Linked DNA regions of Cricetulus griseus. The protein of the gene in region 3 purifies or fractionates together with the protein of the main gene of each other region. This does not show direct contact. Links are inferred from orthologs where the notes say so. Each region holds a gene or a part of one and is shown on either strand. Other genes may lie near its edges.

Region 1 (4,109 bases), on a different chromosome or scaffold from region 3:
AAAATATACTGTATGCATGCATTAAATTCTCAAAGAATAGACAGTACTTATGAAGGGAAAAGCACAGAGTCTGGTTCTCAAAGGTGGCTATGTGAGCATATGCCTCCTTTCTCAGGGCTGCACTTACTTGCCCAGCAATAGGTTTATTGCAGGAGCCACAGAGGCCTTTGGCCTGAGTGGGAACACCACGGCGACTGAGGTCGGATTGCAGCAGCCCCAGCATGGTGTCCAGACTGCCCTTGCTCGTCTGTCCTGGTGGAGAAGGGCACCCCTCTTGGGTGGAGCTCGCCGCTGGGGGCTGAGATGGCCCTGAGGCTGGAAGCTGCAGTGAAGAGTACATGGACATTGAATCAACAAGGCCACAAATTGGAAGCATCAAAACTGGATTGGTGAACCACAAAGCGACACCAGCCAAAATCCCTCCAGACTCACGTGGTTCTGGACACGAAAGTCAGAGAGTGATGCCATCAGTCTATCCAACTCGAGAGTGGCTGAGGTGGCTGAAGGCTTGGAGGGCACAGGGAATGTGCTGGGAGGACTGTGGAGAACACAGTTGAATAACCTTAGAGCCTGCCAGCATGACACCCCCCTATGGTAACTCAGACATCCAGGACCCATCATCTCCTTCCTAGCTTTGTCAACTATGCCAAACTCACACAGTGGGTGTGTTCTTGTCTTCAGTTTGGTCCTCCTTCTCTTCCCCTTCAGCCATCTTACTAGATGGGAACTGAGACATTATCTCATCTGGAGAGATGGGAAAATGACACTAGGTTAGGGGCACACTCAGTTCACCCTGCCAGTGCAGGCTTTATGTCCTTTAACTGCTCCTTGGAGAAGTCTGTGTCCCTTAAACTCTGCCCTGCTTTGCTCTGTCCCCGACCCATCAATGATTGCTCAGGAACAACCCTGTTACCTGTGATGTTAAACTGGGTGGCATTAAGTTCCTGAAGCAAACGATCTAGCTCACAGAGCCCATTGCCCAGGACACCACTGGAAGAGGAGAACGGAGGAGCCACGGGGGCCACAGGCTTTGGGGACCGAGGTTTGCATACTGTGCTAAGGGACAGGAGAGAATCTGGCTTTAGGGTGGGGAATCCAAGTCCCCTCACCTGAACTTCAACTGGCTTCTTCTCCATCTTCATGCCCCAGTCTCCAGGCCTCTCACCTGTACAGATGATCCTTGTCCCCGGAGGCTCCTGAAGGTTCTCCAGACCCTGTCTGCAGAGAGTAGAGGTGTGTGGAAGAGCAGTCATGTCCCCTGCCTCACTCAGACTCTGATTTTCCCTAGCCCAAACCAACCCAGGCCCTCCTAGTGGCTGCCCCAGACCCCCAGAATTTCATCTCACCTGTGGCTGATGGCCATAGGGTGGGGGAGGTGTGAGTGTCTCTGGCGGGCGCTCTTTTGGAGCCCCTAACCGTGACATGTGTGAAGTGGTGGTCTCCAGGTCAGAGAGCAGGGCATCTGCAGTGAGAGGCCCTCAGGTGAGAGGTGGGGGTGGGGTGGGGTGGGGTCAAGGTCTTAAGTGGTTAGAGGATAAAGGGTTCCAAGTGGCAGTATTTGAAAAGATAGAAGCCAGTGTTAAAGGCAGAGGTTAAGAAACAAACTCGGGGCCAGACCAAGGCAAAGAAGTAGGATGATAACAGAAGGTATTTATGACCTCTCCCTTGGCTTAACCTGGGAGCCAAGTACAAACCTAGTCACTTAACTCTTTTATTCTCTCCATCTTTCCTGACGCAGCCAAGATTAGCTTTTACTGAATTCCCAATTGTTTAATTGCCTGTATGCTTGACACCCAACTTCCTGGTTAGATGTTCTCTGTGGCATATCCACTAATTCTTCCCCACTTCTTGGTCACAATGAAGTTTCACCCAGTTCTCCTCAGGGGCAAGAGGTACTGGCAGGGAGCTGCCTTTGGTGTATTTCTTATCCGTGTACTATTATTGAGGAGCGCCCTCTGCTGTTGGGTGCAGAAATCTCGTCACGCGGAGCAAAGACTCCGCAAATAGGGAGGGCAGAACGCCTGGGGCGCTTTGGATCTATGAGCGCTGATCCCCTTACTCTTCTCTGGGCATCTAGGCAGAAGCCTTAAACTTTTTTCTGTCAACTTGGCACTCTCTGTCTGTTATTCTCTTTCTTGCCCTGAGGACTTACCTGACCTTTGCTATACTTCAGAGGGCTTACCCCTGTCTTCTTGAAGCCCTGGTTTAGGCTATCTGGCCCCCTTTCATCTCCGAAACTTGATGTCACACTCTCCTCTCCAGTCTGTGTTCCTAGTCTCTGGACCCAAGGATCCCTTAACCCCTTCCTTCCCAGAGCCTCTGAATTCAGGCCCCCGTGGGTATCTCAATGCCTAATCCATTACACAAACCGGGTTGAGGGAGCAGAGTCAGGGAAGAACGGAGGGTGCGGGTGCGGCATCGCGAGCAGGCAGGAAGGGAGAGACAGGAAAGGGTACGTGGATTTGGGAGGGAGGCACAGGAAGGCAGAGGCGAGAAAATGGAGGGAGAAAACTGGAATGGGAGAAGTGTGGGGTGTGAGTGGGGAAGATAGATGCAGGCAGGGGTGAGAGGCTAAGGGGACCCGGTCCCCACTCACCCAGGTCCTCCATGGCGGTGCGCTGGCAGACAGCTTGGGGCGAGCAGGGCGGGGGCCGTGTCCGGTGGGGGCGGGGACGGGGGGGGGACGTCAGGGAGTTAGAAGCAGGGCCGTGACCATGTATGGAAGCCGGGACCCGCTGGGATACGGTCGAGGGGGGAGCGATGAAGGGGGAGCATGGGGACATGAAGAAAGACAGCACCAGGGCCCACCCAACCAACCCAGCCTTCTGGCTCCGCTCAGAGGAGGCCACACCCCAGCCTTTGCCTGGGAGGCAAGTCCCAGAAGCTGAAGCCAAATCATTAGTGGTTCTTCCGTAGCTTCCTCCTAAGGAACCCCATAAACTGAAATCCCCCCAAGCCCACTCCTCCCAAAGCCAGCACCTGGGTTCTATGCAGAGCCCCCTCCCCACTAGGGTATTTTTAAAATACGTGTCCCTTGCAGAATTTTATTAGAGACAGGAGTGACTCCAGGTCTGACAGGGAGCCAGATAGAGATCGAACGGCAAGACACTAAGAAATGTCTCATACTGAGAGCACCAATCCGAAGTCAGGGCTTTCCCTGCAAAACATACCTGGAAATAGATACACAGAACAGGGAGAGCAAAAACAAGACCTAAGCCCATGTAAACTCCCAGGTTGACAAACCCCAGACAACTTGTAAAACAAAACCCTTTCCTAGCGCTGAGGTGACCAGAGCCTGTTTCAAATCAGCCCTTTGCTGAGATATTGATGAAAGAGGAGGAAGCAAGCAGCAATACAGACCCCAGTCACAGAGGGACAAGAAGCTTTCCCTGTACCAACTCTCTAAGAAACCAAGTTGGAAACACCTGGAGATGGGTGTGGACAGGTGGCTGCTGTCTTACAGGCACCCTGGAGGACAGATTTGAACAATGGACTATGGGGCTCAACTCAGGAGCAAGTCAGAACCCAGAAAGTTAGGTTATAACACCCAAGCCCAGCACAGACATCCATGCTGGCCTAAATCAACTGGAAAGGGACCAGGTATAAGTACCCTTTACAAAGATAGGATCTCATTATACAACCCTGGCTGGCCTAGAACTCAGAGATCCACCTGCCTCTGCCCCGAGTGCTGGAATTAAAGGTGTGTGCCACCACATCTTAAATTCACAATCTGAACCAGAGAGACTCAGGGGCAGCAAGAGCCCCACCTTAACTCACCTTTCTGAAATGCCCAGACCCTGGAAGGCTTAGTCCAGGGCTCTTGAGAGCCCAATGATGGAGACCCTTCCTTCATCTGAATGCCAGCAAAGCACCTTTCTCTGAATGTGACTAAGATGGGGCTGAGAAACCCTAAGAATACAGCAGGTTTCCCCTTAGGTGAGTGACATTTTAAAACTTGTCTTAGACCAGTAAGACAACTCAGCAGGTAAAGGCACTTTCTGCCAAGCCAAATGACCTGAGTTTGGGACCCATATGATAGAAACAGAGAAGTGACTCCCTCATGCTGTCCTCTGACTTCCACACAGGAGCCATGACATGCACATAGTCAA
Region 2 (3,954 bases), on a different chromosome or scaffold from region 3:
GAAAACAAAGTTTCATCAACAGAAAAATGTCTGTGAACTAAGAGTTCTAGCACTTGGGGCCAAGCCCTTAGGCGACAGATAAGCAGAGGGAAGGACAGAAATCAGTCCAAGTAAGCTGGGTCGCGAATCTGCACTTCTTGAATAAATGCTCTAAAAAGCATTCGAAAGCATGCAACAGAACAAACTGGGCCCAAGGTGGGGGGAAGGGGGCTCAGGAGCCTCGGAAGCTGCATAATGGCCACCGATGGAGCCCTATCTTTGGAGAAGAGGACTACACCTGTCAGCAGAGTCGGCCAGAAGTGAAGAGGGCCTGAGCAGCGGAACCCGACCTCTCAGATTGAATCGGAGCTCTCAGAAAGTCCTGGTTGGGCGGTCACCCTTCCCTTCTCGGCTGTGGAAACCCCTGCTTCCGGCTTCCGGTGTCGTAAGTGTGGGATCCGGAAGTAAAACACAGACTCGAAGTCGAGGAGATTAACTGGAGCTGCGAAGCCACAATAGTGCTGCATCCCACTCTGAAGAGAAGCCTCAGACCGCCAGCCTGCATTGGCTAACCGAAGAGCGCAACGCTCTTCACTGATAAAGATCACACACACACTCACACACACACACACTTACACACTTTTTTTTTTTTGATACAGGGTCTCTCTCCTAGCTATCCAGATCTACCTGCCTCTGCTTCCCGGGTGCTTGGAATTAAAGGCGTGTGTCACCTCGCCCACAGTTGTCCCCACCCCATTTTCAAGGCGTCGCATTCGCAATGAAACACCCCAGTTTTAGTCTGGTTCTGTCACTGGGCTCTCTGCCACCAGGTCCCTACCATGGAAAAAGCCTAGAAGAAGCTGCTAAAGGACGCCAAACCGATTGCAAGGGGAGGCGTGGCTATGCTGCTAACGGAAGTGGGGTCATCCAGGAGTGCGCAGGGACTCGAGGGTCCATCGGAAAACAGACCATAAAGTATGGCTGGGGTAGCGATGGGGACGCAGGAGAACTGTGCGGAGCTGTATCTGTGCCAGCAAAGCATCACGATCGCGGAGCAGGAAAGCAGGGACGGCCAACAGGGTGGGGCTGACAAGGGATGCGTGCGCACCTACTTCTGCTACTCTCCCCTCCCTCACCGATGGAGTAGTCCGAAGCTCCTCCTCTCCTGCCTCTCCTGAGGCGGGTCAGCTCAGTCAAAGCACCCGCCCTCCTGCGTTAAACGAGCCAGCTAAGCGCAGCCCCCGGAAACGAGCTGTGCACTCCAGAACTGTAAACCTGTTTGGCAGCAGCAACTAAACACAGGTAAAGGGGGTGGTCTGATAGCACACCGGTGGAGGGATGTGCTTCCCGCTTATGAGCCGCGTGTCCCTTTGATGAGCGCTATTTGTTATGCTTGGATATGGAAAAAGATCTACGAGGTCTTAACCCATCCCATTGTACCCCGCACTTCCCCGCATTAGGCCCATGAGGACTAGACTTTTAGAAGAGAAGGGTCTTTCTGGGATCATTTAGCTTGGCCAGCAGAGAGCTGGGGCTGAACTCCATCATCTGCACAATGAAAAGATGCTCAGTTCATTGTGGCGTTTCTGGCAGAGACTGGAGTGCGATGGCCCCAGACACAGTGCGATGCTCTGACCGCGTCGCTTTCCCAGAGTGGATTCCCTAGCTGAATTCCATTAATGCTTATAGAGATTTCGTAATGTACAGCCCCCAGAGAAGACAACATAGGATATGGCTGGAGCCCAGAAGCAGCAGTTTCTGATTCTGATAAGGTTAAGTTGTCAATGCTCTTCTGTTCTCCTGCCTTATCAATGAGTCTTTCTTCCACCAGAAAACACCATGGCAGAGCAGGTGGCCCTGAGCCGGACCCAGGTGTGTGGCATCCTGAGGGAAGAGTTGTACCAGGGTGATGCCTTCCACCAAGCTGATACACATATATTTATCATCATGGGTGCATCGGTGAGTCTCCCCTCAGGCCCTGAGTGTAAAAAAATCAAATGTAGCATTTTGCAAGGCACTTCTCTCTCTTTACCTGAACTTTCCCAACTGACTGCTAAGGGGCCACACAGGTTCTAATTTGAACTCACGGCATATGTTCCCACCTGTGTGTCCTGATCATCACAGCAGTCAGTACCTGCTGTACATCATGTACTTCTGTCAAATTTCTCATTTGCAAGGCTTTTCAGAAATCTATGTTCAGCCATTAAATGTGGGCCAGACTTGGAGCATGCAAGTTCTAAAGCACCATCTACTTGAACTTCTTCCTCCTGGATGGAAAAAAAAAAACTGAGGTGCAACCAGGAAGTGCTATTCAGTCTATATGTTTTCCAAATCTGTAATTTGACAAATGTTACAGTTGCTTTCAGTGAAAGGATCTGAGGTCCTGCCTCTGCCTCTTTTCTCTCTATTGCATGAAGTTCCCTGGAGGCAAACACCTACTCTTTACCACATCTTCCAGAGCCTACTGCAGATTTCTGTTGATTCCACCTGGTTCCCAGTTGTCTAACTAAAACAACTACCAATATGCTCTGTTAGGAAAAACTGAAGAACAGAAGCGTAGTCAGAGGGGTGGTGTGATGATGGTACACAGTGAGACTGGGGCAGGTGGGGCACCCTCTCATGTGCTTTGTGGAAGCAGGGCATGTTCAGTGACCAGGGTTTTGTGGAAAAGGTAAACTCAATTGCTTGCTTTTAACCCTAGAATCTGATCACCCTCGTGTTACCATCTTCACTATTAACTTATTGTGTAACCTTGAGCAAGAACTTCACTAGAGCTAATGTGTTATTGAGAGGGTAGCCACTACTAGCTCAGCACCTTGCACACTTTGGGCCCCTCAGTGCTGGGTGAACTCTGTGGTTCTTTGTTCATACAGAGCATTGCCACCCACTAAGGGTTAGGGCTGTAGCTCAGTGGTAAAGTACTAGGCTCTTATGCATGAGGCCCTAAGTTCAATTCCCGGTACTATCAAAAAAGAGGAAATCAGAACATGCCACCCCCTTTGCCAGACGTGTTCTTTGTCAGCCTTGTATTTCAGAGCAAAAGTGGAGTGAGAAAACTTAGAAAAGGAATGCAGAAACAGAGGAGAAGGGCTCAGCCACTGAAAGGGCAAGGGAGAGACACCCCCAAGGCACTGTCCCCTAACTCCCTATAACTGTAAGACCCAACAGAGGTACCCAGTTGGAACACACAGTACAGCAGTCCTACCCTCAGCCGTAGCACCAGCCTAGTCCCCTTAAAGGAGCCATGCATACATGTATCAACTACAAACCTTAGCATATAGGACTCTGACTATTAGGTCCTTCAGTCTAAATGACCACCTGGAAGAGAAAGTAACTAAGGATGATTTCCCCTGCCCCACCCATGCTTTTATAAGCTTGCAACAATAATAATCTAAACATCAAAGATAGTTTACAACTGGCAGACCTGAACTCTTAGATACCTCATTGATAGCTTGTTGTGTGACCTGGAACAAATGTCTCCATTTCTCTGAACATTAGTAGTCTTCATCTAACAAACAAGGGCCAGACAGCCTCTGGCTTTATCCTAGACTAATTATGTGAGTTCTAGCCTGAAATTGAGCAACTTCATTTCACTGCAATCGGTATGGTTCCCCTTTGCTCTCCTCTGCTCTGGAGTGAGAACTGAGGCTTCCAGAATAGAAATGTGAACTGCTAGCTCCAGCAGAAAGGAGTGGGGAAGAAAGAGAAGTTTGCTGAAGATCATCATTTTTTTTTCTCTGTTCTTCTCAGAGGGCCTGAGACAAATAGACCCTGTGCCGGGACAGCCCCCAGAATATCTCTTGCCTGACACTTTACTGAATGCATGAGGCAGGCAAAGTGCTGATCTAGGATACCTGCAAGTTCTCCATTCATTCAATGTAGCAATCAAGTGTCTCCTCCAATCCACAACAGCCTCAGTCCCTAGCCTCATGGGGACAGTGTCTTTTGGGAGCAAGCAAACCAACAGGATTTTAG
Region 3 (3,300 bases):
AGGAAAGCAAAAAGAGTGGGGGCAAAGGAGACTAAGAGAGAGGGGGTCAAGAGAGAAAGAGAAAACAGGGAGAGGACCAGGAGAAGGCACAGGTGGAATAGGAGGGTTATAGGGCAATGGGAAGCTGGGGCGAGAAGCCCACTAACTGGAGAACTTTAGGGTAGAGGGTGAGATGAGAAGAGCCAGCATTCCCTAACAGGTACTTGTGATGTTGCATGAGCCTGGAGGCCAGCAAGCCGCTTTGGGATGCTAATAGGCACGACAGATAGCTCTTTGTTCCGAGTTTCTTTTGTACCGGACACACAGCACTTATATAAAAGCTGAATCTGGCTAGTCATAGCGGGGCACGCCTTTAATCCCAGCAGAGGCAGGCAGATCTCTGAATTTGAGACCAGCCTAGTCTACAGAGTGAGTTCCAGGACAGTCAGGACTACACAAAGAAACCCTGTGTTTGGGGGAGGGGGCTGAGTGTGGCCACCTGTGCGGCTAATTCCTGTGCTGAGCTGGAAGGGTGGGGCAATTACAGAGACAGGAGGGCAGTATGGGGCTCCAGTATGCCCAGCCAGTTTGCAAGCTCCAGAGTCAATAAAAGACCCTGTGAAGGAAGGAAAGAAGGAAAGAAGGAAGGAAGGAAGGAAGGAAGGAAGGAAGGAAGGAAGGAGAAAGAAAGAAAGAAAGAAAGAAAGAAAGAAAGAAAGAAAGAAAGAAAGAAAGAAAGAAAGAAAGAAAAATCTATCAGGGCCAGATAGTTCAGTGGACGAAGGCACCTGCCACCAAGCCTTTGCTCCCCAGGATACACATGGTAGGAGAGAGCTGACTGTTGCTGGTAGCCCTGAGACCTCCACAGGTGTGCATGGCATGTGTGTGTCTACACAGGCGTCCCTCTGGTTCAGACCAGACTCAGTTGTTTCCCAGTTGGACACAAAGGACCTAACTTCCAACCGTAGTCTCAAAAGAAGGATGGGACAGGGCCGCAGGCCACCGCCCTTCAGCCCAGGCAGTGAATGCCCGACAGTGGGAACAGCTCCAGCTACCGGTATTACAGTCATTTGTTTTCTTCAACTAGAGAAGTTTCCAGATGGGGGCAGAACCTTCCTGGCCCCGCCTGCCTGTCCCCTTTGTAAGCTTAGGGGGAGGAATGCAGCGGGGAGGGCCGGCCCCTAGACGGTCATTGCCATTAATAGAGACCTGAAGCACCGCCTGCTAAAAATACCCGGCTGGACACCCATAAAAGCACGGCCGGGGCTCCAGTTCGGCACTTCTCGGATCATCTGCCCTGACCCGCACAGCCAAGAACATGACCGAGCGCCGCGTGCCCTTCTCGCTGCTGCGGAGCCCCAGCTGGGAACCATTCCGGGACTGGTACCCGGCCCACAGCCGCCTCTTCGACCAAGCCTTCGGGGTGCCCCGCTTGCCGGATGAGTGGTCGCAGTGGTTCAGCGCCGCTGGTTGGCCCGGCTACGTGCGCCCACTGCCCGCCGCGACCGCCGAGGGACCCGCGGCGGTGGCCCTGGCCGCGCCCCTGGCCGCGCCCGCCTTCCACCGTGCGCTCAACCGGCAGCTGAGCAGCGGAGTCTCGGAGATCCGGCAGACGGCCGATCGCTGGCGCGTGTCCCTGGACGTCAACCACTTCGCTCCGGAGGAGCTCACGGTCAAGACCAAGGAAGGCGTGGTGGAGATCACCGGTGAGTCCCCCTTGTCCCCACAGGGAGAAGCCAGCGGGCTGAGCGCCCCGGTGGCTGTACCGGGTGGGCGGGGGGAGGGTGTGAAGCCAAGAGGGATGGGAGCCTGGAAAGCTAGAAAGGAGCTCCGAGACCGGGAGGCCAGTGTCGTTCTCCCTGGCCAGCTTCCCTTGCTGCGGAACCCGGGCGCAGGCTGCGCCTAAGAGCCTGTCATCCTCGCTGATAAGGACCAACAGCTGGGGGTATAGCTCAGGGCAGAGCCTGGCCTGGCCTACGGGAAGCCCCGGGTTCTACGCACAGCAACGCACCCTCTGGAAGACCCCATTCCCAAATAAGGAAGTGCCAGGACTCCTGCCAGTGTCCCCGGTCCCAGCCACGGAGGGGGCCGGCACACAGCTCTGAGTGCGCCTGCGCTGGTGTCCAGCCTGGATCAGAGCCAAGCCCAGTATCCCAAATCCCAGAAACGAACTTTCTGGAAAGTTTTAAGATGACTCCAGGGAGTCAGGCATCTCACCGCACTCTCGTGTGTGTGCTGCCTTGGAGTCCCAGCCACTCCTTAGCAGGTGGTGGGGTCTGCTACCACACAGCAGAGGCTTGTCTCTGACCTCCTTCTGTCCCACCCGCAGGCAAGCACGAAGAAAGGCAGGACGAACATGGCTACATCTCCCGGTGCTTTACCCGGAAATACACGTGAGTTCTGGTTCCTTGCGTGGCTGGGTGGAGGAAAGCGGACCCAGGGAGGAGAACAGAGGGGCCGGGATCTGGAGGGATGTGTAACCCTTGTCCTGTTTTTCTTCTTGTCCAGGCTGCCTCCCGGTGTGGACCCCACCCTGGTGTCCTCTTCCCTGTCCCCTGAGGGCACACTTACCGTGGAGGCTCCGCTGCCCAAAACAGCCACACAATCCGCGGAGATCACCATTCCGGTCACTTTCGAGGCCCGCGCCCAAATTGGGGGCCAGGAAGCTGGGAAGTCGGAACAGTCTGGAGCCAAGTAGAAGCCATCAGCCTGCTGCATCCCCAACAGCCATCACTCGCCACCCCTCTCTATCAGTCTTTATGCTCTTTTGATACATGTACTTTCTGTTTTTCTCAAATAAAAGTTGGAAGCTACTGCTTGCCACCGTCTCAGACCCCGGTGTTTCTGGCGGGCTAGGGATGAGTGCTCCTTTGGTGTCTTTGCGATGGGCTCAGCCCCTTCTTGGGTTCAGCCTAACATTTCCCTAGGAAGAAGGAAAAAAATGATAATCTGGAGATTAAAATTTTACCAGGGTGGGGCTGGGCATGATGGTGCATGCCTGTAATTCCAGCACCCAGAAGCTGATGCAGGAGCATGGTGAATTTGAAGCCAGCCTGGACTACAGAGTGAGTTCCAGGAGTGCCCGGGCCACATACTTGTTGTCTCCAAAACAAAACAAAAAACAGGAGCTGGGGATGTAGTTCACAAGAGTGATTGTATGGCATGAGGCACTGTTTGACACCGCCCCCCACCCCCGCCCCAGCTTGCACACACACATCCAAAAGCATGGTAACGCATACCTGTAAGTCCAGCATTACAGAGGATCAGAAGTTTAAGGTTATCCTTGGCTATATAGCCAGTTTGAGGTCAGCATGGGACACA

What was found. Proteins that work in one complex are often made in the same cells at the same time.
Region 1: the proteins of Hspb1 (region 3) and Tgfb1i1 purify together in Homo sapiens (affinity purification with western blotting; 3 studies listed by BioGRID). This does not show direct contact. The link is inferred for Cricetulus griseus from reciprocal best matches to the Homo sapiens genes HSPB1 and TGFB1I1.
Region 2: the proteins of Hspb1 (region 3) and G6pd fractionate together in Homo sapiens (co-fractionation; 3 studies listed by BioGRID and IntAct, with this or other methods). This does not show direct contact. The link is inferred for Cricetulus griseus from reciprocal best matches to the Homo sapiens genes HSPB1 and G6PD.

Annotation. Positions count from the first base shown.
Region 1 is NC_048596.1:72,567,129-72,571,237, forward strand, and holds the start of Tgfb1i1 (transforming growth factor beta-1-induced transcript 1 protein), read right to left. Parts: upstream 2,801-4,109; 5' UTR 2,784-2,800; coding exon 2,597-2,783; intron 2,454-2,596; exon of another isoform or gene 2,370-2,453; intron 1,463-2,369; coding exon 1,347-1,462; intron 1,219-1,346; coding exon 1,166-1,218; intron 1,057-1,165; coding exon 914-1,056; intron 745-913; coding exon 657-744; intron 539-656; coding exon 433-538; intron 323-432; coding exon 128-322; intron 1-127. UniProt on the Homo sapiens protein: Functions as a molecular adapter coordinating multiple protein-protein interactions at the focal adhesion complex and in the nucleus. Links various intracellular signaling modules to plasma membrane receptors and regulates the Wnt and TGFB signaling pathways.
Region 2 is NC_048604.1:1,292,346-1,296,299, forward strand, and holds the start of G6pd (glucose-6-phosphate 1-dehydrogenase), read left to right. Parts: upstream 1-1,154; 5' UTR 1,155-1,281; intron 1,282-1,810; 5' UTR 1,811-1,818; coding exon 1,819-1,938; intron 1,939-3,954. Other genes in the region: Ikbkg (NF-kappa-B essential modulator), read right to left, coding at 949-951. UniProt on the Homo sapiens protein: Catalyzes the rate-limiting step of the oxidative pentose-phosphate pathway, which represents a route for the dissimilation of carbohydrates besides glycolysis.
Region 3 is NC_048597.1:114,890,713-114,894,012, forward strand, and holds Hspb1 (heat shock protein beta-1), read left to right. Parts: upstream 1-1,145; 5' UTR 1,146-1,297; coding exon 1,298-1,685; intron 1,686-2,308; coding exon 2,309-2,372; intron 2,373-2,487; coding exon 2,488-2,677; 3' UTR 2,678-2,800; downstream 2,801-3,300. UniProt on the Homo sapiens protein: Small heat shock protein which functions as a molecular chaperone probably maintaining denatured proteins in a folding-competent state. Plays a role in stress resistance and actin organization.